Linked DNA regions of Canis lupus familiaris. The main gene of each other region encodes a partner of the protein of the gene in region 3 in a complex. Links are inferred from orthologs where the notes say so. Each region holds a gene or a part of one and is shown on either strand. Other genes may lie near its edges. The genes, in order: ARID1B, PBRM1, SMARCC2, SMARCD1, ARID1A, ACTL6B and ARID2.

Region 1 (3,500 bases), on a different chromosome or scaffold from region 3:
ATGGAGCTACTGCGAACTTTCCCCAAGGCTGGGAATTTAGTAGGTTGAAGAGCTGGGACTCAGATATGTCTCGAATGGGTAAGTGAATTGGTTGTGGGATGGCAGAGGGAAGAATGCCCTCTGGACCAAGCCTGAGCAAAGGTCTCCCTGCACTTACCTTTTCTCATTCCACCAAAGGGGTCTTTGTTGGGTTCATAGGGCATCCTTCCCATCACATCAGGCATGCTCATGCCCTGCTGGTATGGGGTGCTTGGAGTCATGGAGTTCCGTTTTGGGAATGATGAATCACTGGCATCTGAGAATGGGTCGTGCACACTGACTGTACTGCTTCTAAGGAGACAAGAAAAATGAAAGCTTCGTGAAATAGCAGGAGATGCCTCCAAATGCTTGTTCAGAAAATAGGCCTAACTTGAAAATGTTTAATGTAAAAACCATCCCCTAAAATTACATGAATAAAACTAGTAGTATTCAACATTAAGGACACACACTTCTTCTTTACAGACAAATCTGATGTCATGTGGCTCACAGAGATCCTTTTGCATACCTTCCACCTTGCATCGGGGTCATCTGTCCGTGAGGGGTGGAGGCTGGGGTCGGTGGCTTCAGGTCACCTGGAACCTCTGCCATTGAGTTACTGCCAGTTGACTGGGGGGTCTGTGGACCTTGCAAGGATCCTGAGTTAGCTGACAGTAGTAGTACCAAGAGAAAATAAGAAAAAAAAAAAGAAGTTATCAAGTAAGCTCATCCTTCCTACTAATTTAAAAAAAAAAAGGAAAGACAACACGACACCATCTTATTAGAATTAGAAATAGTAACAATATCCATTACTGGTAACGACACAGTAAAATTAGTTGCTTTTATATTGTTTATAGTGAAAATTAGTAAAAGTTGTTTGTTTTGTTTTGTTTTTAGTAATCTATTTGGCAACATACTTCATTTGTGAGCCATAAAACATATTTATACCTCTTGACTGGGTAATTGCTTTCCTGGGTATTTATCTCAAGAAAATAATCTAATATAAAAGAAGGCTTTAGGCAGAAAAAAATGTTTATTTCAGTGTTGTTTATAATGGAGATAATCTAAATGTCTGAGAGTAAGGAAAAAAAATGGGATGAAAAATTCGGTATACTGATTTGATGGACTATTGTGCTATTTTAGGAAAAAAGTTAGAAAAATTACTACCAGGTCTTAGGCAATGAGAAATGTTTAAGTTGAAATGCAATGATACAAATTTTTAATGAGCCTTATATCACTTCAATGCCTCCTCAATGTCTGTGCTATGTCATTAATAAAGTCATTTTTAGAGCTCTGGAATCAGATTTGTTATTACAAAACCAAAGTCATGCTCTTTGGAGTTCTTTAATGTCATCATCAGAGTCCTGAGATTTGGCTTTAACTATAATTACACTATAATAACAGAGCTCAGTATTGAGCAAATCTTTTTAAAAACTTAAGTACTCACCTCATTGGAAAACATAGTATTTTAAGGGTTCCCGCTTTATCACTGACCTTTGCATGTGAGGTGCCCGAAAGACACTACCTACATTTATTAATTCAACAAATACTTATTGAATAAATAACATGCTTACTACATTGCTTACTATATTGCTTTTTTTCTATTCCTGGATGCACCAGTGTCCCAAACTGACAAAAAGGACAAAAATTCCTGCCCTCATGCAGTTTATAATAAATGCTTTCAGAACTGTTACAAATGGCAGAAATTACTGGCTGCTTGTCAAAGATGATACTGTATATGTTATTATCTGGAGTCCCTTTCCTAGGAGTGTCCGACACTCACTACAATTACCAGTAGCCACATTTAACTGTAGAGGAAATGGGGTTCAACAAATCACTGGAGATTACAGAGCGTGCTGGGAAGGAGCCCGAGGTGGAAATTAGTCCAGCTCTTCCAGTCAGAAAGCCTCAGCGGAACACAGAGGTCTCCAGTGAGATCAGGTCAGCCCTGGGCCTGGCCTGCTTGGGAGTGAATCTTGAGCCCTGGCCACCAGGGCCCTGCCTCCTGTGTAAGGTGTACGCTGGGTGCCCGGGACTAGAGTGACTCAGGGCAGCTCTCAGAGATGCCGGGAAGACTAGCTTGAAAAGTAGATCATCTTTTTAATGTAGATATCGCCAAAGAAAAGCTTAGTAACACATGCTTATAAATCAGATTTTGGTGAAACCCTACATATCAAATAAATAGATCGTAATAAGAGAAAAAAAAGTGGAGTCTTCTATAAATATGTAAGGATAAACCTACAAATGTGACTGCCCCACAGAGCTGGCAGGAGAAATAACGTGCTCCTTAAATCACAGACCACACTCCACAGCAGCCTGTGCGGCTTCCCTGGAAACATGGTTCACAGGCTGTGATTTCAGAATGACCCTTATTTACAAGTATTCACATTTACAGCTAATAAAAAAAAAAAAAAAAAAAAGGAAAAATTCTTCCCTCTGCCAGTATTTTTTCCTCTCCTTTCAGGAAAAAAAAAATGAACACAACCTCTTGAAGCTCCATTAATAGACGAGGCTGGCACACTCTGTAGGCTCTCCCTACCTTTTGCCAGAAGCTACAAATGTATACTCGAAAGTAAACAATGGAAAGGTTATTGAAGGTTAAGTACATTCACACACTTCAGACTGTACAGCCAGACTCCTAGCTGGGAAGATAATTTACACAGCACGAACCTGGTGCCCTAGTTCTGGCTGGGGTTTCGGGAAGGAGGGCAGGGAGAAGGAAGGAGAGCTGATATGTCCCAGGTCTACAGTGACTGGAGGTCACCCAGAGGGCACCTTTGTTTATAACCTGAACCTCTTTCTCATTTATCTTCCACTGAGGATTCCCTAGTTGGATCCATGACAGGTTTTGTGACATCACCTGTCAGCTAATAATAGAAATGCAGTCAGCCACCTGCCAGCAAAGATGGATGGGTTTTTGGTTACAGACTTACTAATTGAATGTGGAGCTTCCTCGGCCCCCCTTTACCCCGCCCCCACCCCACCCCAGCTTCCAGGCCTCCTAGGCCACTTGGGGAGGTGATTTCTGCAGCTGTTCATTAGAACTCCATGAACTTTTACAGGCTTATTATAACGAGATCCCCACTGGCACCTCAGAAATGCAACTGTACCCCAGGCCTTGCCCACGTTTCATCTGGGAGCTTCCCTCAATGGACTCGCCCAAGTCACTGGAAGACAGTAACATGGAGCTCTGGCTTGAGAAACCACACAGTCCCTACGGTGAAGATCACGGGCCGAGGGGTTCTACCTCCCAGAGGCTGGCGGAAAGGAAGTTCAGTCCACACTGGCCACACCAGATCGAAACCGGAATACAGATGGATGACACACAACGCTAGTGTAGCCAAATGAGCTGGGAATTCAGGTGGCTTCAGAGTGGCCATTTAGAAAGCAATCTAGTACTTTTCTTAGGAATCTTTTTAGTTTGGATGTGTTGATAAGAAATACACTATAATTACCTTCTTAGGGGGAGAATGGACTCTAAGAAC
Region 2 (3,500 bases), on a different chromosome or scaffold from region 3:
AACTGCATCCTCCCTGATTCAGTAACACCCACCTGCCCACTCGAGGGCGCACCAGGCCATGGGATTTGATGAAGACACAGTCGCCAACCTTTAGCCACATGTCATTGTAACGGAGTTGCTCAAAGTAGTGGCAACCTGGTTCACCGTTTGACATTTCCACAGGGACATCTTCTTTCTCCTGTGGTAAAGGAAACTGGTTGAAGATAGACAGCTGACGATCAAGGAGGAGACAGAGAAAGTTAAGAAAGAAAAGCTGACTTTCCATATTAACTTAAAAGAAAAAAATAACTATAAGTAGATGTTTTGATGAAGATTGGAAGCCTAAAGATTGGGGTTCTGAAATCAAACTGAGTCTTCTTAAATACTGCATTTATTTTAAATTTCTACTTATGTTTCAATTAGCAAATAATCGTGCCTCAGATAAATCTCATTGGCTACGATACTGCCACTGTACAACGCTTCTGCTTAAGTTTCATAAAATGTTACTCCAAGGTCCTTTTATCCCTTTGCCCAATCCCCCCCATTCCCATAGCCTTCAGCAAAAAAAGTACCACACAGAATGGATCAGCATTCAAGAGCAGTCTCACTCATACACTGCTATGGAGCATAAAGAGCAAATTCTGCACGAGCTTCCTCTTCACTACATTTATTGAGCTCTCAATTTTTAAAAAAAAAGATTTTATTTATTTATTCATGAAAGACAAAGGGGGGGGGGAGAGAGAGAGAGGCAGAGACACAGATGGAGGGAGAAGCAGGCTCCCTGCAAGGAGCCCATTGTGGGACTTGATCCCAGATCCCCGGATCAGGCCCTGGGCCAAAGGCACACACTCAACTGCTGAGCCACCCAGGTGTCCCAAACTCTCAATTTTTTTCCCCCCAAACTCTCAATTTTTTAACATTAACAACTAATGGTTTTAAATTATCATTAATAAAAATAAAGTTATCATTTTTATTTATTCTGGGATGGAAAAGTATAGCCTCTGTGATATAAACACATACACTCTGTTTCTAAATAAATAACAAGCTCTGTCACCTACTGGCTGCTGTGATGCTGGGCTAATTACTTGACCTGTTAGGTCACCTATAAAACAAAGGCAGCGTACCCATCATATGGGGCTGTTAGGAAGATTCAATGACATACTCCACATCAAGTATGCAGAACAATGTCTGACTTAGGAAAAGCCTTGAATGCACATTCATTATTGTGGTTTTATAGTTTTGGCAAAAAATAGAAAATGAAAAGGGTAGCCTGGATAGCTCAGTGAAGCGTCTGACTTCAGCTCAGGCCATGATCTCAGGATCCTGGGATGGAGCCTTGCATTGCCCTCTGTGCTCAGCGGGGAGTCTGCTTCTCCTTCCTCTCTGCCACTCCCCTGGCTCATGCTCTGTCTCTCTCTGTCTCTCTCTCTCTCTCTCTCTCAAACAAATAAATAAAATCTTAAAACAAGAAAAAGAAAAAAGGACAGTTCTGATCTGATGCAGAGAATAGGCAAAGCATGAGGTGTTTTAAACATACTAATTCCAAAACATATAAAAGCTGAGGAAACTCCAGAACCCCAACATTTTCTACTGCATCTCCTTGAGAGTATCTGAACTTCAAACTGAAAAAAAGAAAAATATCCTTCAGAAGGTCCAAACAATTTGTTTTGATCTTTATGACTTCAGATGTGATATATAAATGGTTCTTCTGGAAAATCCTGAAGAATGCATGAGGTCACACATATAATGGGTGAGGGGAAATCTATAGGAATGGGAGCTATAAAGTAGCCCCAAAATTAAGAATAACTTTCTCTTTTGGAAATGGGTTGGTTGTGTTCTGAAGGTTTTTTTTTTTTTTTTAAAGTAACCTCTCTGCCCAAAATGTGGCTGGAACTCACAACCCCAAGAATGAGAGCTGCATGCTCTACCTGCTGAAGGTATTCTTTTAAAAAGTTCCAGGAATGACTTGTTTCGGTCAGGCAGTATTAAAATAAAGACAGGAGACAAAAGGAAAAAAATTGCATGCACATAGAGGACCTTGGAGTCTTATGAATTCTAATAAGAAATGTGGGTTAATTCCCATGTTGGCTTCCATTGGTATTTCTTATTCTTTCAAAATTAACATCTCTATAACTCCCAAACATACTAGTAAAGTGTAAAGAAGATCACGTTTTCCTCAGCTCCCTTTCTCTTGTAACACTGTTAGGACAGTAAAATGGATTTCTTTTCTAAGACACTAAGAAGTCTATTTTTTCCAAGTTTTGTTTTGTTTTTTAAGATTTTATTTATTTGAGAGAGAGCACAAGCAAGAGAATACAAGCGGGGGAGTAGCAAAGGGAGAGGGAGAAGCAGGCTCCCCGCTGAGCAGGGAGCCCAATGTGGAGCTTGATCCCAAGACCCCAAGATCATGACCTGAGCCAAAGGCAGAGGCTTAACCAACTGAGCCACCCAGGTGCCCTCATTTTGTCAAATTCTGAAAACAATTTATCCAAATCTTTTACATCCTTGAGTGGCCGGTTTCTCGTCCCATAGGTTCCAAGTATTCCTTTTAAGGTTATTTCTCAATGTATTTTGTTGTTAAGGTGAATCAGGTATTTTCTTCTATATGATTATCCTAACAGTTGATAAAATATATTCAACATGATAGTCAACGTTTTCATTTTACTTTCAAGAGTCCTGTGAATTATAGTTTGGTTTATATAAAAAAGCTACTGGGTGTCTGGGTGGCTGAGGTGATTGAGCGTCTGCCTTCGGCTCTGGTCATGATCCGAGGGCCCTGGAACTGAGCCCCACATTGGGCTCCCTGCTTAGTGGGGAGCCTGCTTCTCCCTCTCCTAACTGCTTGTACTCTCTTTTGCTGTCTCTCTCTGTTTCAAATAAATCAATAAATAAATCTTACAAAAAAAAAGTTATTGACTCGTATATGGATTTTGAAATTCCTTTGTTGAATCCTGTTTTTCAAAACTTTAGTTAAGTGCTCCCCTATGATCTTTATGATTGCCACTTTATTGTCAATATTTTGCTATTTTGGTCTGCATTGGCTACTTTTGGAAAAATATAGGTAACCGTAGAGCAAGCAGGCTTTAGGCATAAGAAACAAATATAACTTAAAAAAAATCACTTTGAGGAAATACCATCTAAAGACTTAAATACAGTTGCTGTACTTTATCAAATAATCTCTCCTTTGATCTATTAATATAATGATGTATATTACTGAATTTTCCTCATTCTGACCAATCCTTGCATTTCTAGAATGAACTCTTACCTACTTGGTCATATTATTCTTAAATAACTAATTTGATTTCACTTATAAATAAAAAACCATTTTCTCCAAGTATTTTTTGCATCAAAATTCGTAAGTTAGATTGAACTGTACCTTTTCTGTTTTATTTTGTCAGGCTTTGGAATTAGGATCATCCTAGTTTTGTTGTAAAATAAACTGGGAAGTTTTCTTTGTTCTCCATGCTTTGAAATAATTTAAACAGTATTATAATTATAGGTCTCTTAAAAGGGTTAAAAGA
Region 3 (4,252 bases):
CACGGAGCCCCATGCAGGGCTTGATCCCATAGCCCTGAGTTCGAGATCTCAGCCAAAATTGAGTTGGGAGGCCCAACCGACTGAACCACCCAGGTGCCCCCAAAGGTGGAATTCTTTAACCCTTATGCCACAGTATCACGTGGCCTGGAAGAAGGGGGAAAGAAAAAAACCAGTATTCACAAAGCCCCATCTTGTGCCACGTACTTACTGGGTCACCTCATTGACCATTACAGAAACCCTACAAGGTAGAGATATTATTCCCATCTAGAGATGAAAAACAGACACTTAAAAGGTTTAAATGGCTTGCCCAAGATCACAGAGATACCAAGTGGCAGAGCCAGGATTTGAACACAAGCCAATGCAAATCCCAATCTTGTACCCTTTCAACCATGCCACAAGAGTTTCATGTACGAGCTCAGACATATAACCTGTTGAATAAAGTTTTTTTTTCTTTTTTAAGAAGAATAGAGATTTTAAGAAGTCTCTACACGCAACACCAAATTCACAACCCCCAGATCAAGAGTAGCACACTGCAGCGACTCAGCCAGTCAGGTGCACCTCGCTGCACCAAGTATTACTAAGACAAAGGGAGGAGTAAATTGGGGACCAAGGCAAGCCAGTAACGCCCTGACCAGGAATGGGGATAACAGGCAATTACCCACATCTCCAAAAGTATGAGATTTACAAAAACCCCACAGTTCCCTCTCCAGTTTGGAGGATTCATCCCCTTGCATTTGCACTCACCGGCAGTTTAGTGAGCGGCGCATTGCTGACATGTTTGCCAAAAACTTCTTCCTGAAACTGTAGCAACTGTACAACCAGGCTAGACAAGGACTTGTTGGTAGGTGGTTCAGCTTGTATATACTGGGGAAACAGAGGCAAACGGAAGAGAAGTAGACCTCAGACAAACTGTCCACTATCTCCCTTATTTTTTCCCAAGGGGCCCTGGAAGCATCTGGGGTGGAAAAAATAGTGTCTCCTTCCCCCACATGTCTAGTTTCTATAAAGAAAATGGCAGAAGGGAAGGCATCTAAGCCCCTCACCGGAAGCTGAAATTCTGCTGCCCCCAACCCAGCCTGCCAGCAGCCGGTGCTGGAGGCAAGTGGGGCTTCCTACTTGTCAGCTACGTTCTGAAACTGGTTGTTAGTTGTAGGATCCTGATTTCTAGTCAACAGCACTGAGGGCGGTAAGATCCTGAAGGTTCAGTAAATGCAGGCAAAGGAAGCAGTATCTTTGAGGCTCTAAGCCAGACCACAGTGTATTTCTTGGGGGTAACTTTGTGGAGGCCGAGACTCCCCCTGCAACATAGCCTAACAAGAAAGGTGCAAGGAAGTGAGGCACGCCAAACAGACGGAGAGTGCCAGCCGGGCCTTCTGCTTCTGCTAGGAACTGGGCACAAACGCCTTCGAGGGGGCAAGGACCAGCTCCTACCCAGCCTGGTGAGGAAGAGCAAGAAAACATTGATGCTTTCTGAGGAAACAGTATCTGAGACAAGCAACCCCGGGCCTTCTCACGCATTTCCATGTGCCGCTACCTAGTATCCTAGCCTCCTGTTCTAATTTAAATCTGAGCCAGGAGGCTAACTTTCTCTTTACCTTTTGACCCCTGCTTCCTCAACCCTAGTCACAGAGACCAGCGCTCCTCTCAGTGGGAGATGTAGAGAGCGCCTCGCACCAGAGGGTAAGCGACAAAGGGCCGTCAGCCCCCCCATCCCCCCCCCCGCCCCCCGGCCAGAGACTAAGCCCCCGCTCATCTCCCTTCCGGACCTTCCGGAAGGTCAAAGGTGGAGGCCTGGGAGCCGAGGCCTCGCGCTGGGGTGCAGGCGCCCCCGGCCCGGCAGCTGGTTGTCAGGAGCCGCGGGGGAAGGGCCGCGGCCGGGCCGGGGGGCGGACTCCTAAGCGCCCGGCAGCTCCTGACAGGCTGCGGAGCTGGGCAGGAAGAGCCGGGCCGACGGCGAGCCTCCCACCGGGCGGCGCGGGGCGGAGGCCGAGCTGTCCGCGGGCGCAGCCGGGGCGGACGGCCCTCTCGGCCGGGCCCCGAGACAAAGACAGCGCCGGGGGAGGTTCGACGGAAAGTCAGGTAAGGCTTTCTGAGCCCTTTGTTCAGCCGCTTGTCACCTGCAGGCGCGGACGGGGGCTGAGGCAGCAGCGTCCTGGGCCCGGCGCCCCGGACCCGAGCGGTGCGAGGCCAGCGGCCGGGGGCTCCATTGTGAGGTGGCAGGAGGCTGTGCCCGGGGCTGCGAGCTCCCGGCTCCCGTGGGGCGGGCGGCGGGGACAGGTGGGGGGGCGCTGCCGCCCGCGGGCCCGGCCTGCCCGGCGCCTGTTTACCCGCCCGCTCCCACCGCCTCCCGGGCGGACACAAAGCCCGCGGAGGCCTCAGCGCCGCCGGCCCGGCTCGGGGCAGCTCCGGCGGGCGGGCTGGGCCGGGGGCATCCGGCGCCGCGTCCGCCCCCCGCCGCCTCTCCCGGAAGGGCCCGCAGGGCTGTGGCCCCGGGCGGGGGCGGTCGGCGCCGGGACTCGCCGCGCGGCGGCGAGAAACGGGGCCGCGGGGGCCGCGGGGGCCGCGGGGGGCGCGGGCGGCCGCGGCCTTTGTCCCGCCCCCGGCCGCGCGGCCCTGCCCGCGTACCTTCTTGTAGTTCTTGCCGAGCCAGAGCCTCACGTTGTCGAACTGGGTCACGGTGTCCGCGGCCTCGTAGTACTTCACGTTGGGGCCGCCGTCCTTCTTCCGCACCGCCATCTTCTCGGGCTCGGGCCCGCCGCCGCCCGCCCCGCGCCGCTCAGCTCCCGCCTCCTCCGCCTCCTCCTCCGCCCGCCTCCCGCCGCCTCCCGCCGCCGCGGCCGCCGCCTGCCGCCGCCTGGGCCGGCCCGGCCCGCGCAGCGCCCCCTGCCGGCCGCTCGGCCACGGCGGCGGCGCGGCTCCCGACGCGGGGCGCACCCGGCGGCCTCCCCGGCGGCCTCCCCCGCGGCCTCCCCGGCGCGAAGCCTCTCCTCCCGCGGCCTCTCAGCCCAGGGCGCGGGGGGCCGCCCACCCGCCCCAAGCGGACGCCGGAGGGCCCCCCGGCCCTGCCCTCCGGGGAGCCAGGCCGGCCCTGCCCCGCGCTCCCAGTCCCCGAGCCCGCACGGCCCGGGCACCCCGGCCCCCTGCCCAGGAAGCGCCTTGCTCCCATCGCCCGAGCCCCCCACGCCCGGCCAGCCCCCTGCCGCGGTGACCCGAGGAGCCCTCGGCCGCCCCCCGCCGCCCCGGCCGGCCGCTGCCCCCAGCTGGCCCCCCGCAGGCCTCGCCGGCGCCTGGGAGACCCGTCCTCCCGGGGAGGGCCACCCCCGTCCGCCGGGCCCTCCGGGGGCCGCCCGGCTGTCCTCGGAGCGCCGTGGAGGCGGGGGGCCCGGGGGCGCGGCCCCTCCTGTAAGCGCGCGGCGGAGCGCGGTCTGGGGAGTCACGGTGGCCGAGTGGTTAAGGCGTTGGACTCGAAATCCAATGGGGTTTCCCCCGCACAGGTTCGAATCCTGTTCGTGACGGCCGCTTTTTTTCTCGCTCAGGAGGCGTCGAGGGGCCCCGCGCCCGTGCCCCTCGCGCACTCCCCTTCGGCCCGAGGTCTCCCCACGACCGGGCGGGATGCAGGTGAGCGAGGGAAGCCTGCCCTCGCACAGCCGCCGGTCTGCCCGGACGCAAGGCACTTGCCGCGTCCTGGGGCTTCGGGTCTGAGAGCTTTGGCGCACGTTTTCATTCTTGGGGAAACGAATGGCAAAGGATTTGAAGAAGGGTTAGGTTTTTGGAAATGTGGATGCCTGTTGTGCTAGGATACTCAAAACTAGAGTTTCCAGGAAAAGAGGGCACCTCTGGATTTCATGACCGGAAGTCTGGTTGTAATTGAGCCCCAAGAAAAGGCATGGTCTCATTTGATGTGAGGAGGCGCCTCTCGGTGTTTCCAGGGCTAGGAGGACAGCCTGTTGGAACGTCAACACTGCAGCCCGAGCTGGAGCTGGAGCGCGGCAGAGAACACCCCGAATGTGTGTTTTTACCGAATGCTCCTTATGTGCCAAGCACTGTTCTAAATTCTCCGTGTATTAACCAAGCTAGGGAATTAATTCCCTCTTTAACCTCTAACCCTCCTGTTCTCCCCCGGTTAGAGGTTAGAGGGGAATGATACTTGTTGGGGATGTTCTTTTGGTGTTTCATTTCTTGCACAGCATCATCTTCTCCAAGAAGGATCAGGGAGCTCAAGAGTAATTCACATTTACTTGAGTAGTTCAAG
Region 4 (3,500 bases), on a different chromosome or scaffold from region 3:
TTAAATAAATAAATAAATGCATTAATCCTATGAGCCTAGTTTCTCCAAACAGAACGCAAGCTGCTTTGAAAGCAGAGATCCAGTTTTCCACTCTGCATCCCCTCCGATACGGTACACCAGTGACACCTCATAGTACGTACTAGATGAACACTCGATGGTTCCACCTCCATTTCCCTACTTGGTTGTAAAACGGACCCGAGAACATGCTAAAGAAAATCTGGTCCTTCACCTCCCCTCTGGCTCTTCTACCAGATGCTACAAAAATAAAGCAGATGTGTGCCTCACTGATCTAAGTCCCTTCGCACCTTTCCCGGGTTCTTTACCTTGAGGTCCCGGCACTGGGACTGAAGCCAATCATTGATGAAACCCTGAGGGTCTCGGGCAAAGCTCAGCATGAACTCCCGCTGGGTCTTCAGCTGATTGATAGTTTCTATTGTCTCATGGATCTGAAAGGAAAAGAAGGAAGCTTAATAACATTTCAAACTGGGAAATGCGACCTTAAATGGCAGACGGGGGGCAGCCCGAGTGGCTCAGCGGTTTAGCGCCACCTTCAGCTCAGGGCGTGATCCTGGAGTCCCGGGATGGAGTCCCACATCGGGCTCCCTGCACAGAGCCTGCTTCTCCCTCTGCCTATGTCTCTGCCTCTCTCTCTCTGTGTCTCTCATGAATAAATTAAATCTTTAAAAATAAAAATAAAATAAAAATAAAATAAATGGCAGATGGTGTCTGCATTTCCATGTGCCAGCCACTCCCAACCTAGGCCCAGAGTGCTGCCCAGAGCCTCAACTGCTCCAGCACACGGCATTCTTTCAGCAGCTGTGTGCACTGTGTCACACGCCCCATGGGAGGGAAGTTTTCCTTCTGATCCCTACAATGTCCACTACAGGTGAAGCCACATGGTGAATACTTAATCCACAGCACAAATAAGCGCAAAAACATTCTGAGGTAGGAGCGGTGGTACAGGCAGCTGTCTCAAAAGCCATGGCCCAGGGGGGTTTGTCCCTGCCCTTCTCTCATCATCCATACTCTTCCTGGCAACTTCCTTCACTGGCACATCTTCCATTACCACTGATGGGTTCACGAGTCCTCAGTCTGCAGATCAGAGTCCACTTTCTAAACTCCAACCACTCTAGCTGCTTGATAATTCAAGACACATGAAACTCTGAAACAAAATTCACTACCTTTCCCCCAATATTCACTTCTGTTCTCCGGTTGCCAATCTGAATGAACACTACTATGCATCCAAGCGAAAACCGTGGGAGTCATAATGCCTTCTCCTCCCTCAAGCCACACTCCACTGACCCCATATGAAGAGTATCCAAATCTCTGCAGGTCCAAATCTTGACACCTCTGAGATCTGTCCACTTCTTTTCATCCTTATTGTCAGTACCCCAAGTTCAGGCCCTCCAAACCATGTCACAGGCGTTACTGCACTGACTCCTCAGTGGCCTTCCTGTCTCCAGATCTGCCTCTCTTACAACTTGCTCTCTGCCTTCCTGCCAGTGGTCATTCTAAATGCAAAGAGCATCGCTACCTCCAGTCTTTGGGACAAAGTATAAATAAACCAGTTTCCCTTCTAAAGCTTCTTTAGAATTAGACTCCTGCTTCCCTATCCAATTTCCTTCCCCCAAACTTCCCATTCCTAGCACCCTAAGATATATCTAGCACACTAGACAGCTTGTATTTCTTGAACATGCCAGGCTCACTCTCATTTTGGGACCTTTACCTACCCTGTTCCCTCTTTCTGAATGTCCTCTGCCTCCCACACCCCTAGGCACTATCCTTTCTCCCCTTTCATTAACTCTCACTTTGTCCTTCAAGATTTAGTTGGGGTATCAACTGATCCAGGAAAGCGTCCCTGTGCTCCTTTGTGTTCCTCAGAATGGTTTCTAGCTTTACCTTCATGGACAATGTCTATCGAGGAAAATAACAGTAGCAGCAGCAGTTACCATTTGTTTTCACTTGCCAAACACTGTGTCGTCTTTATGTACATTGTCTCATTTAATCCTCATGACAATCTTATTAAAAAAATGATACTGTCGGGCAGCCTGGGTGGCTCAGCGGTTTAGCGCCGCCTTCAGCCCAGGGCCTGATCCTAGAGACCCGGGATCAAGTCCCACGTCAGGCTCCCTGCATGGAGCCTGCTTCTCCCTCTGCCTGTGCCTCTCTCTCTCCTTTTCTGTGTCTCTCATGAATAAATAAAATCTTTAAAAAAAAAATGATAGTGTCTATTTCATAGTTCAGAAACAGGCTCAAAGCTATTAAAAGCTATAGCAGAATCATAACAGCCAGCTCCAACTGGCACCAAGCACAGTGCCTGGCATAGATTAGGTGTTAATACATTCTGAATGAGTGCTAAGAATCAAAAGATAGCCTAGAAGCTGTGGCAGAGGGCTGGTGGCACCCAAGGTACCCAGGACTGGGGCCCCCTACCTTGTTGTCTAGAGTAGCAATCTCCTGCTGGCTGGCGGTAGATAGCAGGAAAGAATTCATCTGAGTCTTCAAAGTATCATCCACTTCCACATCGATGTCATAACAAGCAGTCTTTTTCTGATCATTTGGGTCAACACTGGGGAGGAAACCAAAGGGGACTAGTAAAGGGCTTGTCCCTTAAGACCAATTTACACAAGATCCAGAAGAAGGCCTGAGAATGAGGGTAAGAGGTTGAGAGCAAAAACACATAAGAGAACTTTTGCACATAACTGAAATTTCCCATACCTTCCTTGTGATGGTAGCTACATGGTGTCATGTTTGACAGTCTCAAACTATACTTCAAGAGTGTATGACCTATTGTATATAAACCCCAATAAAGCTGTTGTTTTTTTAAAAAAAAAAATCAATGGTAAAAATTCAAATGGTACAAAAGATATTCAGTGAAAAGGAAGTTTCTCCCACCCCAAAAGAAACTACTACTGTAGTATCTTATATATCTTTCTCCCTATTAAACAAAATTGACCCTGAAAATAAATTCAAATAAAACACACACTACACAAAAGGCTTAACTTTAGCACAAGAATACAAGAGAGATCAGCTTCTAATGATCCAACATATAAATTGTAGGAGTTACTATTGGCTGAGTGACAGTTCAGGATATAAAGAAAGGAAAGCCTTTATCAGAATTAACATGGAGTAAGGGAAAGGCTGCAAAGAGACTACAGCCAAACCACCTGCTGCTCTGAGGAGGAGGAAAGGCATTCCCTCACCCCATATCTAGTGGGATGGAGTGTCCCAACTAAATCTTGAAGGACATCTTCTGAACAAAAAAGTGGGAAAGGATAATGGAATTGTTGAGCCTCAGGTTAGAATGTTTTACCAACCACAGAGGAGATGGTAGCCCATCCACAATGAGTTGGTAAATGTCTAGCAACCGATTCTCCAAAAGGGGAGGGAAAAAAAGCCAATTTGCAGCATTTGTGGATTTCTGTGGTTTAGATATTCCCAACCTGGTTGATTACAAGCTGCCAAAGTTGTTTTACTGATCAAGGAGCTGGGATGAAATG
Region 5 (4,086 bases), on a different chromosome or scaffold from region 3:
GAACATACCTTAAAATGCAAAGAAAAAATTAGTTGACCTCTATCTCAAAGCTCTAAAGTGACTGATGACAAAACAGAAAACTAGCCTTTTTGATATCCCAGGAACAAATGATAAATTTTACCAAACCAGGCCTTTAGGAGAAAGTCCCTCCCAAGATCATAAAAGATATCGGCTTCTCTTTAAATTGAGCTGCTTTCTCAAAGTTCAATTAACAAAAGAGTTAACAAGATTCAACATGTAAACAAAGAATGAGGCCAGTCTTCCTTAAAACAGAACACTTGAACGTAATATGAAATTCTCTCAGGAAGCTTCCAGTTCAAAAAAAAAAAAAAAAAAAAAGAAAAAGAAAAAAAAAGTTTTCTTCTACCCCCTCCCATAAAGATCCCACATTTGTCACTCAATAAAAATCCCAGTAAAATAATCTCAATTCTGCAACGCGAACAGGGTCAAAATTACTCAAGACAAATGCATCTTCAGAGCCATCAAAGAAGTCATTTATACCACCAGGAAAGTCACAAAACCAAAACAAACAGCAAACCCATTGTAGAGAAAAACTCAGCTACTGTTCTGACAACACAGAATCTATTTCAGGCTGCATAAAACATAACAAGCAAAATAAATCCAAGGTACAAGCAAAATGCCACTGCCTCCTCTTTTGTTTCGGCACAATGTAACAAGGGCAGCCTGTCTGGGGCTCTGCTCCTGCTGATACAGTATTGCTGCTTAAACCTTCCTCCTCAAGGTCACAGCCAATTTCAGCTCTGGAATAAAAGGCAGATAGTGGCAGCGATGGTTTGGGTTATCACTGGCAGAAAAGCAGAGTGTAAAAGTTTATGAGCTCATCAGGATTGTTGTACCATTACATCAGAGGCAATTATAAATGGCCAAGAGCAGGAGATGGGGAGCCAATCAGATCACAGATAGGATGTCAACCTAAGACCAACTGTCTCCTGGCTTTGACAGAAGGATTTTACCTCCATAATTCAAATCCCAAACCAAAGCAATCTGCACTTACTACTCCAATCACTCAGCTGTTTACCAGCACTTCCAGGGAGAAGCCCAGGCCACTGGGCCGACGGAGACTAAGACAGGAGATGGCCCGGGCTGCCCTGGGTGAACCGCAGCCGGCCTTTAGCTGCCCCCAAGCAGGCCCCTGCCCTCCCCCGAGGTACCCCAGAGCCCGAGGGGCCCCTCCTTGAAAGCACAGATGGGGAACGGCCTAGAGGAAGGCAGGAGGGCGGGCAGAGAGGAGCGGCAGGTGAGCAAAGAATTGTTCACTCAACTCCCGAGCTCCTAGCTCTGCACACCCCAACCTGAGCCCCCAACACACCCCTCAACCCCGGGCCAGGCCCTTCCCCGCACATTCTGCCCCGCACCCCCTCGAAGACCCCAGGAGCGCGAAGGGACCAGGGGAGAGGGAGAAGGGGAGCAGACACCTCAGGGAAAGCCCCACACAAAGGCTGAAGGAGGGAAGGAGAGGAAGGCAGACAGGCAGCCATTTTAAGAGAAGAGCCAGACAATGGCAGCTCCCCAGCAGTGGGGGCCCCGGACTGGGGGTAGCCCAAGGCTGTGGCCTGCTCCCCGCAGCCGCCACCCACTCCCAGGACCCCGCTCGCCCCGGCCCCCTCCCCACTCAGCTGTGTACCTGCGGGGTCCGGGCGAGCGGCTGCGCCCCGCCGCCGCTGCTCCCGGGGCTCATGGGCGCGTGGTGGCTCCTTTGTTGGGCCCCTCCCGAGGCGGCTGCTGCCGCCGCCGCCGCCGCCGCCGCAGCCCCCCAGCACTGCGAGGCCATGTCCGCCGGGCCCTTGCCGGCGCCCCCGTCCTGGGGCCCGCCGCCGTAGTCGCCCCCGGGGTAGCCCTGGTAGCCCCGGGCCGAGCTGGGCGACGTGAGCAGTTGGTTGAGGGTGGGGGTGGCGGTGGGCTGGGGGGTTCCCCCGCCGGCCGCTGAGGGGCCGCCTCCCCCCATGGCCCCGAAGCGCTGCTGAGCGAAGGACGAAGACGACGAGGAGGCGGAGGCGCTGGAAGACGGAGGCGGCTTGGAGCCGGCGGCCGCCGCCGCGCCGGAGCCCGGAGTGCCACCTCTCGGGGAGCTCAGCGCGTAGGCCTGGGGGGGCGGGGGGTAGGCGCTGCGGTTGGGGTAGTAGGAGTTGTACTGGTGGTTGGGGAAGCCGTGGTCGTGCGAGTTCTGCTGGGGCCCCGCGTAGGGCTCCAGGCCCCCGCCGCCGCCGCCGCTCTGCAGCGCTGCCAGGCCAGGGCTTTGTTGTCCGCCATGTTGTTGGTGGAAGACGGCGGCCGCCGCGGCGGCGACGGCAGACGGGCTCCGGCCGTAGGGTTGCCCGAAGCCGTAGGCTGGGGGCGGCAAGGCGGCCGCGGCTGAGTGAGGAGGCGCCCCCACCCCATCGCTGCTGCCGCCGCCGCCGCCGCCGGGCGGCTCCGTGAGGTTATTGTTCAGGGCGGGCCTAGGGCCCGCGTTCCCGTTCGAGTTCTTCAGGTCCGGCTCCGCGCCGGGCCCGCCGCCGGCGCCGGCTCCACCGCCGCCGCCACCCCCATTGCTCTCGGCCCCGTCCTGCAGCTCCTTTCCCAGTGGCTGCGGCGGCCCCACGGCGGGGCCCTCGCTCTCCTGCCCGGCGGCTGCCTTCATTTCCCCGCGCTCGGCCGCTGCCGCCGCCGCCGCCTCGCCCCCCGCCTCCTCCCGCTGCTGCTGCTCCGCTTTCTTCAGCTCCGAGGGCGGCGGCGGCGGGTTGCCCAGGCTGCTGGCGGCGGCGGGGGCGACCTGCGCGGCCATGATCCCCGCTGTCTCGTCCGCGGAGAGACCCGGCCCTGTCTTCGTCTTCTCCCCCCCTCCCACCCCGCCCCGGGGCCGAGTCCCCCGGGCTGCCCTCCCCACCCGCCCGGGCGGGCCTCGCGGGGCTCCGCTGCTGCGCGGCGCTCGCTCGCTCGCTCCTCTCCCCCCCGCCCCGCCGGCTCAGGCTCCGGGCTGGCGGCGGCGGAGGAGGAGGAGGCGGCGGCGGCCGAGGCGCCGGCGGCTCAGCTGCTCCCGGCTCTGTAGGCTCGGGACCCGGCTCTCCCGGCTCATTCCCCCCAAGCCCTTGCCTGGGAATGAGGGGGGCGGTGGAGGCTCCGCTCCCCAGGGCCTGGCCCCGCTGTGACTCTCCGCTTTCTGCTGCCGGAGAAAGGAGGAGGGAGGGAGGGAGGGAGGCGAGGGGGAGGGGGCGGGGAGGGAGGGAGGGAGGGAGCGGGGGGAGGGGGACCCGGGACGGGCGGGCTGGAGGGCGCGCGGCAGCAGCCCGGGCGCCGGGAGGCAGAGTCGGAGCGCGGGCCGGGCCGGGCGCCCTGCCTCCCCTCCCCGGCCGCGGCGCGGGCCGAGGCTGCTGCGCGGCAGCGGGCTGGCGGGCGGGCGGGCGGCCGGACTGAGCGGCTAGAGCGCCCCACTCTCCTCCGAGTCCCCCTCACTCCGACACGAGGCTCAGCACTGCCATTTTACCCAGCGCCGTCGCGGCCGCCTGGCAAACCCGGAATGGAGCGCGGAGCGGGCGCAGGCCATGGAACGGACTCGCTCCCTTCCCCTCACAAAGGAGGAGGGGAGAGAACGAGCCGCGGCGGCGGCAGGCCCTCTGCCGCTTTCGCTCGGCAGCGCCGCCGCTGAAGGCTTCGGGGAAAACCCGGCCCGGAGCCCGCGCCTCTCGGAGCCTGCGCCGCCTCCCTTCTGGCGTTCCTATCCGGGTCGGTCCCCTCCAGGCCGCACCGAGGGGAGCGGGCAGCGTGAACTTTACTCGCGGCTGCAAAATTGGCCAGAGCCCGAGACCGCGGCCGCCTCGGCCCAGGCCTGACCCCCTGGCAGCGGGCCTGGTCTCTTGGCTGCTACTTAGCACCTCTACAGCACTTTTCTTCAAAGCCTTTTACAAACCCGGTCTTAAAGACCCAGCTGAGTGAGCGAGCAGGGCCTTACATTTTATCCCCTTTGCAAGCCCAACGGAATGACAGATCATTGTTCAGACTTTCCGTTTTCCCACTCCCCTACCCTCATTAGCCCGGCCTCATAAGGCCCATGGGCCTGGGGGGCCATGAGGTCCGATTATCCCCATT
Region 6 (2,257 bases), on a different chromosome or scaffold from region 3:
GAGGGTACCTCTGGTCCCCTGTGAGCACCCCCAGGCAGAGTCTCTTTTTCCTGGGCAGGGTGGCTGCGCAGATGCCCACGGTACACTATGAGATGCCCAATGGCTACAACACAGACTATGGTGCTGAACGGCTCCGCATTCCCGAGGGCCTGTTCGATCCCTCCAATGTCAAGGTTGGGTGGGTGGAGGGTATTGAGGTGGGGACTGGTTGGATTCCCTGGATGCCAACGTTGGGTGTGAGGGAGGCTGGGAAGGATCACTGGGGTCTGGGGAGAGAGGGCAGAGGCCCAAAACCCAGATCACCTTTCTTGGCAGGGCCTGTCGGGGAACACCATGTTGGGTGTGGGCCACGTGGTGACCACCAGCATAGGCATGTGTGACATCGACATTCGCCCGGTGAGGCCCAAGCCTGTGTCTGGGCCCAGGGGCCCAAAAGTAGTGGGGAGACAGGGAGGGGCTGTGCCCTGAAGGCACACTCCTCTCTGCACTCAGGGCTTGTATGGCAGTGTCATTGTCACCGGTGGAAATACCCTGCTCCAGGGCTTCACTGACAGGCTCAATCGGGAGCTTTCCCAGAAGACCCCACCGGTAGGAGCCCTCCCCCAACAGGGTCCTGGATTCCTGTCCTGGCTTAGCTCTCCAGGACCCAGTCCTTCCTCCTTCCTCAACAGCAAGTGTTCTGGCCACCAGAGCAGACCCCTCCCCCTGCGGCTTCCCAGTCTTCCCCACTTCTAGCCCTCTCCCTTCCCAGAACCCAGGTGTCTGCTTCCCCCAGCCCCTCTTTCCCCCCAGAGCATGCGGCTGAAGCTCATCGCCAGCAACAGCACCATGGAGCGCAAGTTCAGCCCCTGGATTGGGGGCTCCATCTTGGCCTCACTGGTGAGAGGAAGGGGCCTGGCCTCGCACTGACTGTGGGAACCAGGCAGACCCAGACATCCCATCCCCTTGTCCGCCTCCTTATTCATTCATTCAACAAACTTTTATTTTTGAGAAAGAGTAGGCTCCCAGAAGGGTGAATGCTCCATCAGGACAAATCAGGGAGCAGAAGGACAGGAAGCTGGAGAGATTAGTGGAAGTTGAGGCTATGGACGAGGCACCCACTATACTTAGCAGAAGAGAGACACTGGAAGTTTGGGGCAAAGAAGCAATGTGACAGTCACAGGCATGTTTGGGAAGACTATGTCCAGAATGAGTCTTTGGAGATCAGAGTATGAGCCAGACACAAGGGCACCTTGGGAAGAGGCTCTTTCCATTGTCCTAGAGTCACAGAGTGAAAGCAGTGAGGATGGGGTGGTGGGCAGGAGGCAGATAGAGGAGACAGGCAGGCTGGTTCTGGAGCAATAGGTGGTGAGTCCTCTCTGGACCTGCTGTGGGACACAGGCAAGATGCTGAGCAGGGAGCTGGAGATGCAAACTATATCTCATGGGTGTCAGCCACACAGACAGGACAATGGGACCATGACAGAGCAAGAAGGTCATCTCCTAGAGGGGCAGCCCCCAAGGAGACAGAAACAGGGGTCAGAAATACAGGAGGCTGACAGTGTGAATTCATCCATCCAGTTATTGTGGCCCCCCACCCTGGGTGCCTGACATGGTCCCTGCTTCAGGAGGCAGCACAGACCAGCTGCTGAGCCCATTAAGCAGGAAGTCACCTCAAAATGTGCAAGTGTTCCTTGAAGGGAGGGCCTGATCTAGTTTCAGGGGCTCTAAGGAGCATTCAAGCTGAAGATGGAAGACTGAGTAAGAACCCTTGAGGCAAAGAAGGAGAGAGGATGCTTGGGCCATGGGGAGAGGCAGGGAGACCAAAGGCAATGGGCAGATGCTGTCAGACCCAAGTTTAAGAAGCTCAATGGGGCCACAGAGTGGAGAGTGGCTTGAACAGTGGCCTCCACTGTGACTGGAGTTTGACAGGGGAGTGGGTATCAGGCTGTAGAACTGGGAGCTCATGACACAATGTGGGCAGCATCTGGATGTGAAAAGTTAGAAGGAGTCTAGGATGATGCCCAGGATGCTAGCTCCTGGCAGCTGTGTCCAACAGGAATTTAATATGAGGAGCCACATATATAACTTGAAATTTTCTAGTAGGCATATTTTATAAGAGCCCCAAGAATCTGGTGAAAGTTAAGCTTAAAAAATATATCTTATTTGGGTTGCCTGGCTGGCTCAGTCAGTAAAGCATATGACTCTTTTTTTTTTTTTTTTTTTTTAAGATTTTATTTATTTGAGAGAGATAGCCAGGGAGAGAGCAGGAGCAGGGG
Region 7 (2,824 bases), on a different chromosome or scaffold from region 3:
GGGGCTGATGTTGGATAAAAAGTCTCTTTTGCATCCATTAATACACAGCACAGTGCAGTGCCATGGATCCCCTCTGCAGGGAGAAATTAGATTTTCCTTCAACACCAGTTGAATCAAACCATTAAAAAATTGTTTTTTATATCCAAATTTTTTAATATCCATCCAAACCAAAAAAAAATTTTTATATCCTTTTACTCTAGGAATCTGTCCCTAAATTCAAGTTGAAGGTCTGGGCGCCTTGTGGTTCTGAATGAACAGAGAAACACAGTATCAAACAATAATCTGGGTTTGCTTTACATTATAACAAATGGAAAGTACGCTCAATCTCCTGCTATCTCATGCAAATTTGTCATGTAAAGGATCTCTTTTATCTGTTCTCTACTTAATGTATTATAAATGACATAAAATTAAATAGGTGACTGGACCTTGTCTTCAGCTAAATTTGGGATTCTCTCTATATTTTTAAAAGAATGTCTTAAGCATACTCAGAAATGAAGGACTCAAGAAAATGTTCAGTCTTTTATTTAAAAACTATAAACAGTCACCAAAGTAAATAAAGCCATTCTATAACATAAACTGTTAGGTCTATATTTTTTACTGCACATCCTAAGGACACAGCAGAAATGGTGGTTGGGAGGCCTTCCACATTTTTGGATGCTAATAGAACAGGCAATAGGCAGTTATAAATGGATACATTTCACGCTGGGGGAAGAAGACAATTTAAGGAAGTGAGCAGTTTCTGAGCAGGAATGTGGTACAGTATTAAGAATGGAAGAATAATACAATAAAATTCCACACTATATTAAGATAGAAAAAGTAGTGAAGAAAATATCATACCTGCACATAATGCATATATAACACAGGAGAAAACCTGTATAAAATTCCATGTATTTAAACCAATTTACAAATACAAAAAATTCTGTCCAAGCTCTGAGCTTGCACATGACAAACGTTTACAGTGGATACATGTTAGGGAAAACCAAAAAATACCTTCAAATAGTTTTTCTTCTACAAAAATGACATGAGATATATTATTCCATACTCTTTCAGCCAGCAAAATGAGTTCTACAAGGTGTATAATACAAAACAAAACAAAAGAAAAAAAGAAAAAAGAAAAAAAAAGAAAAAAAAATCACAGTTCCACAAAACTGTTTTGACTTTACAGCATCAGTACCTTTGCAGAAGTATTTACACAAATTTAAAGAACATTCATCCACTGCGTAGAATATATCACAATTACTTACAATTGACAGGAAAGTCTAGAAAACTTTAGAACCTACCAATAATGCTTCTAGGACACCACAGAATGTATTTCCAGTGGCTGCAGTGGCATGAAAGGTGTTCGTTCTATTCACAAATATTTACAAGATCTATTCAGACTGGTAAATTTTTATGATAATAAATAAGTGAAAATATATTGGCTCAAGTAAGAAAACCAAGCTACTGATTTCTAAACAAAACACACAATCCATAGCTAGATATTGGTGGCCCCCTCTGAGATCAGGGGGTATAGGTGTGCTGAAATTTTTTTTTAATTATTCAAACCAGCTTAAACGGTTTTGTAAATATAAAAATGTGCTCCTTTTTGGATATAGATAAAAATATTTAATGCTTCTATTTCATCTGCTCATGTAGGTTTTACAATATTCCATGTATATTCCAATGTGGATGGTACTGAATTCTGATCATACCAGTTTCCATCAGGATTTATCAGATCTGAGAGACATCCTGCAGATAAGCTGGTTGACAATCCCACAGCAGTTTTTTTTTTTTCTTTTTAGATTTTTTTTAAACAGAGAACAAAGGGATTCGCTCAGAGATCAGAATACGAAGCTTCCTCTCAGCATCATGGGAGGAGATAAAATAATTCATTCTATGGTCTCTGTTCCATTAAGACTTGGTGCTTTCTTCAGTAACAGTATGTGAAATGTATGTGACTTTGAGTCCCCACTAGAGAAGTGGAATTATTTTTCACTGCAGCATTTCTGAGTCTTTTTCTTGTTCTTTACTCTGAACTGTAAAATTAAGTTCATAAAGGCATTTGGCAAGGGTGGAGGAAGCTTCCATGTTACTAATGGCTAGCACTGATAAGTTGTTTTCATGTCTCTTTAACAATCTGAAAAAAAAAACAAAAAACAGAGGTTCGTCAGTATCCAAGGTCAGTGATGATTCCTTATGGATTTTGCAAGTTTAAAAACTAAATATTTTTTATTTCATTGAGTGGATGTGTTCAGCACACTTCGGTGAACGGAATACACTATACACTTACATGGATAAAGGATGTTTCTAAACTTGACAGAACTTCCGTGTATCCATGTAGTGATTTTTCAGTGAACAAATGTGTTTACCATGTACCACATGCTGCTGCTTTTAATACACTTTGAGAAGCTACATGTATAAAGGATGGTTCAAAGAATGCTAGTAGCAATGTGTCAGTTTTCAGACCAAAATGGAATTAAACCAGAAATTAGTAACAGAAAGTTGACTGGAAAATCCCCAAGTCCAAGATGTAAACAATACATGGGTAACTACATGGGTAACACAAAGTTATACATGGGTCAAGAAGAAATCTCAAAAGAACTTAAAAAATATTTTAGATTAAATTAAAATAAAAATACAAATTGTTAAAATCTGTGGAATGCCATGAATGAAAGCAGTGCTTTGAGGGAAATATATAGCATTGACTGAATGCATATTATTATAAAAGAAGATCTAAAATCTATAATTAAAATTTTCACCTTAGGAACCTAATAACAGAAGAGCAAAGTAAATCCAAAGTAAGTAGAAGAAATAATTCAAGCAGAAATCAGTGATATTGGAAAGA

The links.
Region 1: SMARCC2 (region 3) and ARID1B share a complex: the UniProt entries of both Homo sapiens proteins name them as parts of the neuron-specific chromatin remodeling complex. The link is inferred for Canis lupus familiaris from reciprocal best matches to the Homo sapiens genes SMARCC2 and ARID1B.
Region 2: SMARCC2 (region 3) and PBRM1 share a complex: the UniProt entries of both Homo sapiens proteins name them as parts of the SWI/SNF-B (PBAF) chromatin remodeling complex. The link is inferred for Canis lupus familiaris from reciprocal best matches to the Homo sapiens genes SMARCC2 and PBRM1.
Region 4: SMARCC2 (region 3) and SMARCD1 share a complex: the UniProt entries of both Homo sapiens proteins name them as parts of the BAF complex. The link is inferred for Canis lupus familiaris from reciprocal best matches to the Homo sapiens genes SMARCC2 and SMARCD1.
Region 5: SMARCC2 (region 3) and ARID1A share a complex: the UniProt entries of both Homo sapiens proteins name them as parts of the neuron-specific chromatin remodeling complex. The link is inferred for Canis lupus familiaris from reciprocal best matches to the Homo sapiens genes SMARCC2 and ARID1A.
Region 6: SMARCC2 (region 3) and ACTL6B share a complex: the UniProt entries of both Homo sapiens proteins name them as parts of the BAF complex. The link is inferred for Canis lupus familiaris from reciprocal best matches to the Homo sapiens genes SMARCC2 and ACTL6B.
Region 7: SMARCC2 (region 3) and ARID2 share a complex: the UniProt entries of both Homo sapiens proteins name them as parts of the SWI/SNF-B (PBAF) chromatin remodeling complex. The link is inferred for Canis lupus familiaris from reciprocal best matches to the Homo sapiens genes SMARCC2 and ARID2.

What each region holds. Positions count from the first base shown.
Region 1 is NC_049222.1:47,265,147-47,268,646, reverse strand, and holds part of ARID1B (AT-rich interactive domain-containing protein 1B), read right to left. Parts: intron 684-3,500; coding exon 545-683; intron 331-544; coding exon 158-330; intron 1-157. UniProt on the Homo sapiens protein: Involved in transcriptional activation and repression of select genes by chromatin remodeling (alteration of DNA-nucleosome topology).
Region 2 is NC_049241.1:37,594,514-37,598,013, reverse strand, and holds part of PBRM1 (protein polybromo-1), read right to left. Parts: intron 461-3,500; exon of another isoform or gene 321-460; intron 179-320; coding exon 33-178; intron 1-32. UniProt on the Homo sapiens protein: Involved in transcriptional activation and repression of select genes by chromatin remodeling (alteration of DNA-nucleosome topology). Required for the stability of the SWI/SNF chromatin remodeling complex SWI/SNF-B (PBAF).
Region 3 is NC_049231.1:853,929-858,180, forward strand, and holds the start of SMARCC2 (SWI/SNF complex subunit SMARCC2), read right to left. Parts: upstream 2,801-4,252; 5' UTR 2,737-2,800; coding exon 2,626-2,736; intron 2,236-2,625; exon of another isoform or gene 2,208-2,235; coding exon of another isoform or gene 2,118-2,207; intron 1,880-2,117; exon of another isoform or gene 1,767-1,879; intron 865-1,766; coding exon 745-864; intron 1-744. UniProt on the Homo sapiens protein: Involved in transcriptional activation and repression of select genes by chromatin remodeling (alteration of DNA-nucleosome topology).
Region 4 is NC_049248.1:42,021,776-42,025,275, reverse strand, and holds part of SMARCD1 (SWI/SNF-related matrix-associated actin-dependent regulator of chromatin subfamily D member 1), read right to left. Parts: intron 2,570-3,500; coding exon 2,434-2,569; intron 447-2,433; coding exon 324-446; intron 1-323. UniProt on the Homo sapiens protein: Involved in transcriptional activation and repression of select genes by chromatin remodeling (alteration of DNA-nucleosome topology).
Region 5 is NC_049223.1:72,795,366-72,799,451, forward strand, and holds the start of ARID1A (AT-rich interactive domain-containing protein 1A), read right to left. Parts: upstream 2,801-4,086; 5' UTR 2,786-2,800; coding exon 1,646-2,785; intron 1-1,645. UniProt on the Homo sapiens protein: Involved in transcriptional activation and repression of select genes by chromatin remodeling (alteration of DNA-nucleosome topology).
Region 6 is NC_049227.1:9,001,725-9,003,981, forward strand, and holds part of ACTL6B (actin-like protein 6B), read left to right. Parts: intron 1-58; coding exon 59-173; intron 174-315; coding exon 316-396; intron 397-492; coding exon 493-588; intron 589-775; exon of another isoform or gene 776-792; coding exon 793-879; intron 880-2,257. UniProt on the Homo sapiens protein: Involved in transcriptional activation and repression of select genes by chromatin remodeling (alteration of DNA-nucleosome topology).
Region 7 is NC_049248.1:38,138,762-38,141,585, reverse strand, and holds the end of ARID2 (AT-rich interactive domain-containing protein 2), read right to left. Parts: intron 2,117-2,824; coding exon 1,972-2,116; 3' UTR 501-1,971; downstream 1-500. UniProt on the Homo sapiens protein: Involved in transcriptional activation and repression of select genes by chromatin remodeling (alteration of DNA-nucleosome topology). Required for the stability of the SWI/SNF chromatin remodeling complex SWI/SNF-B (PBAF).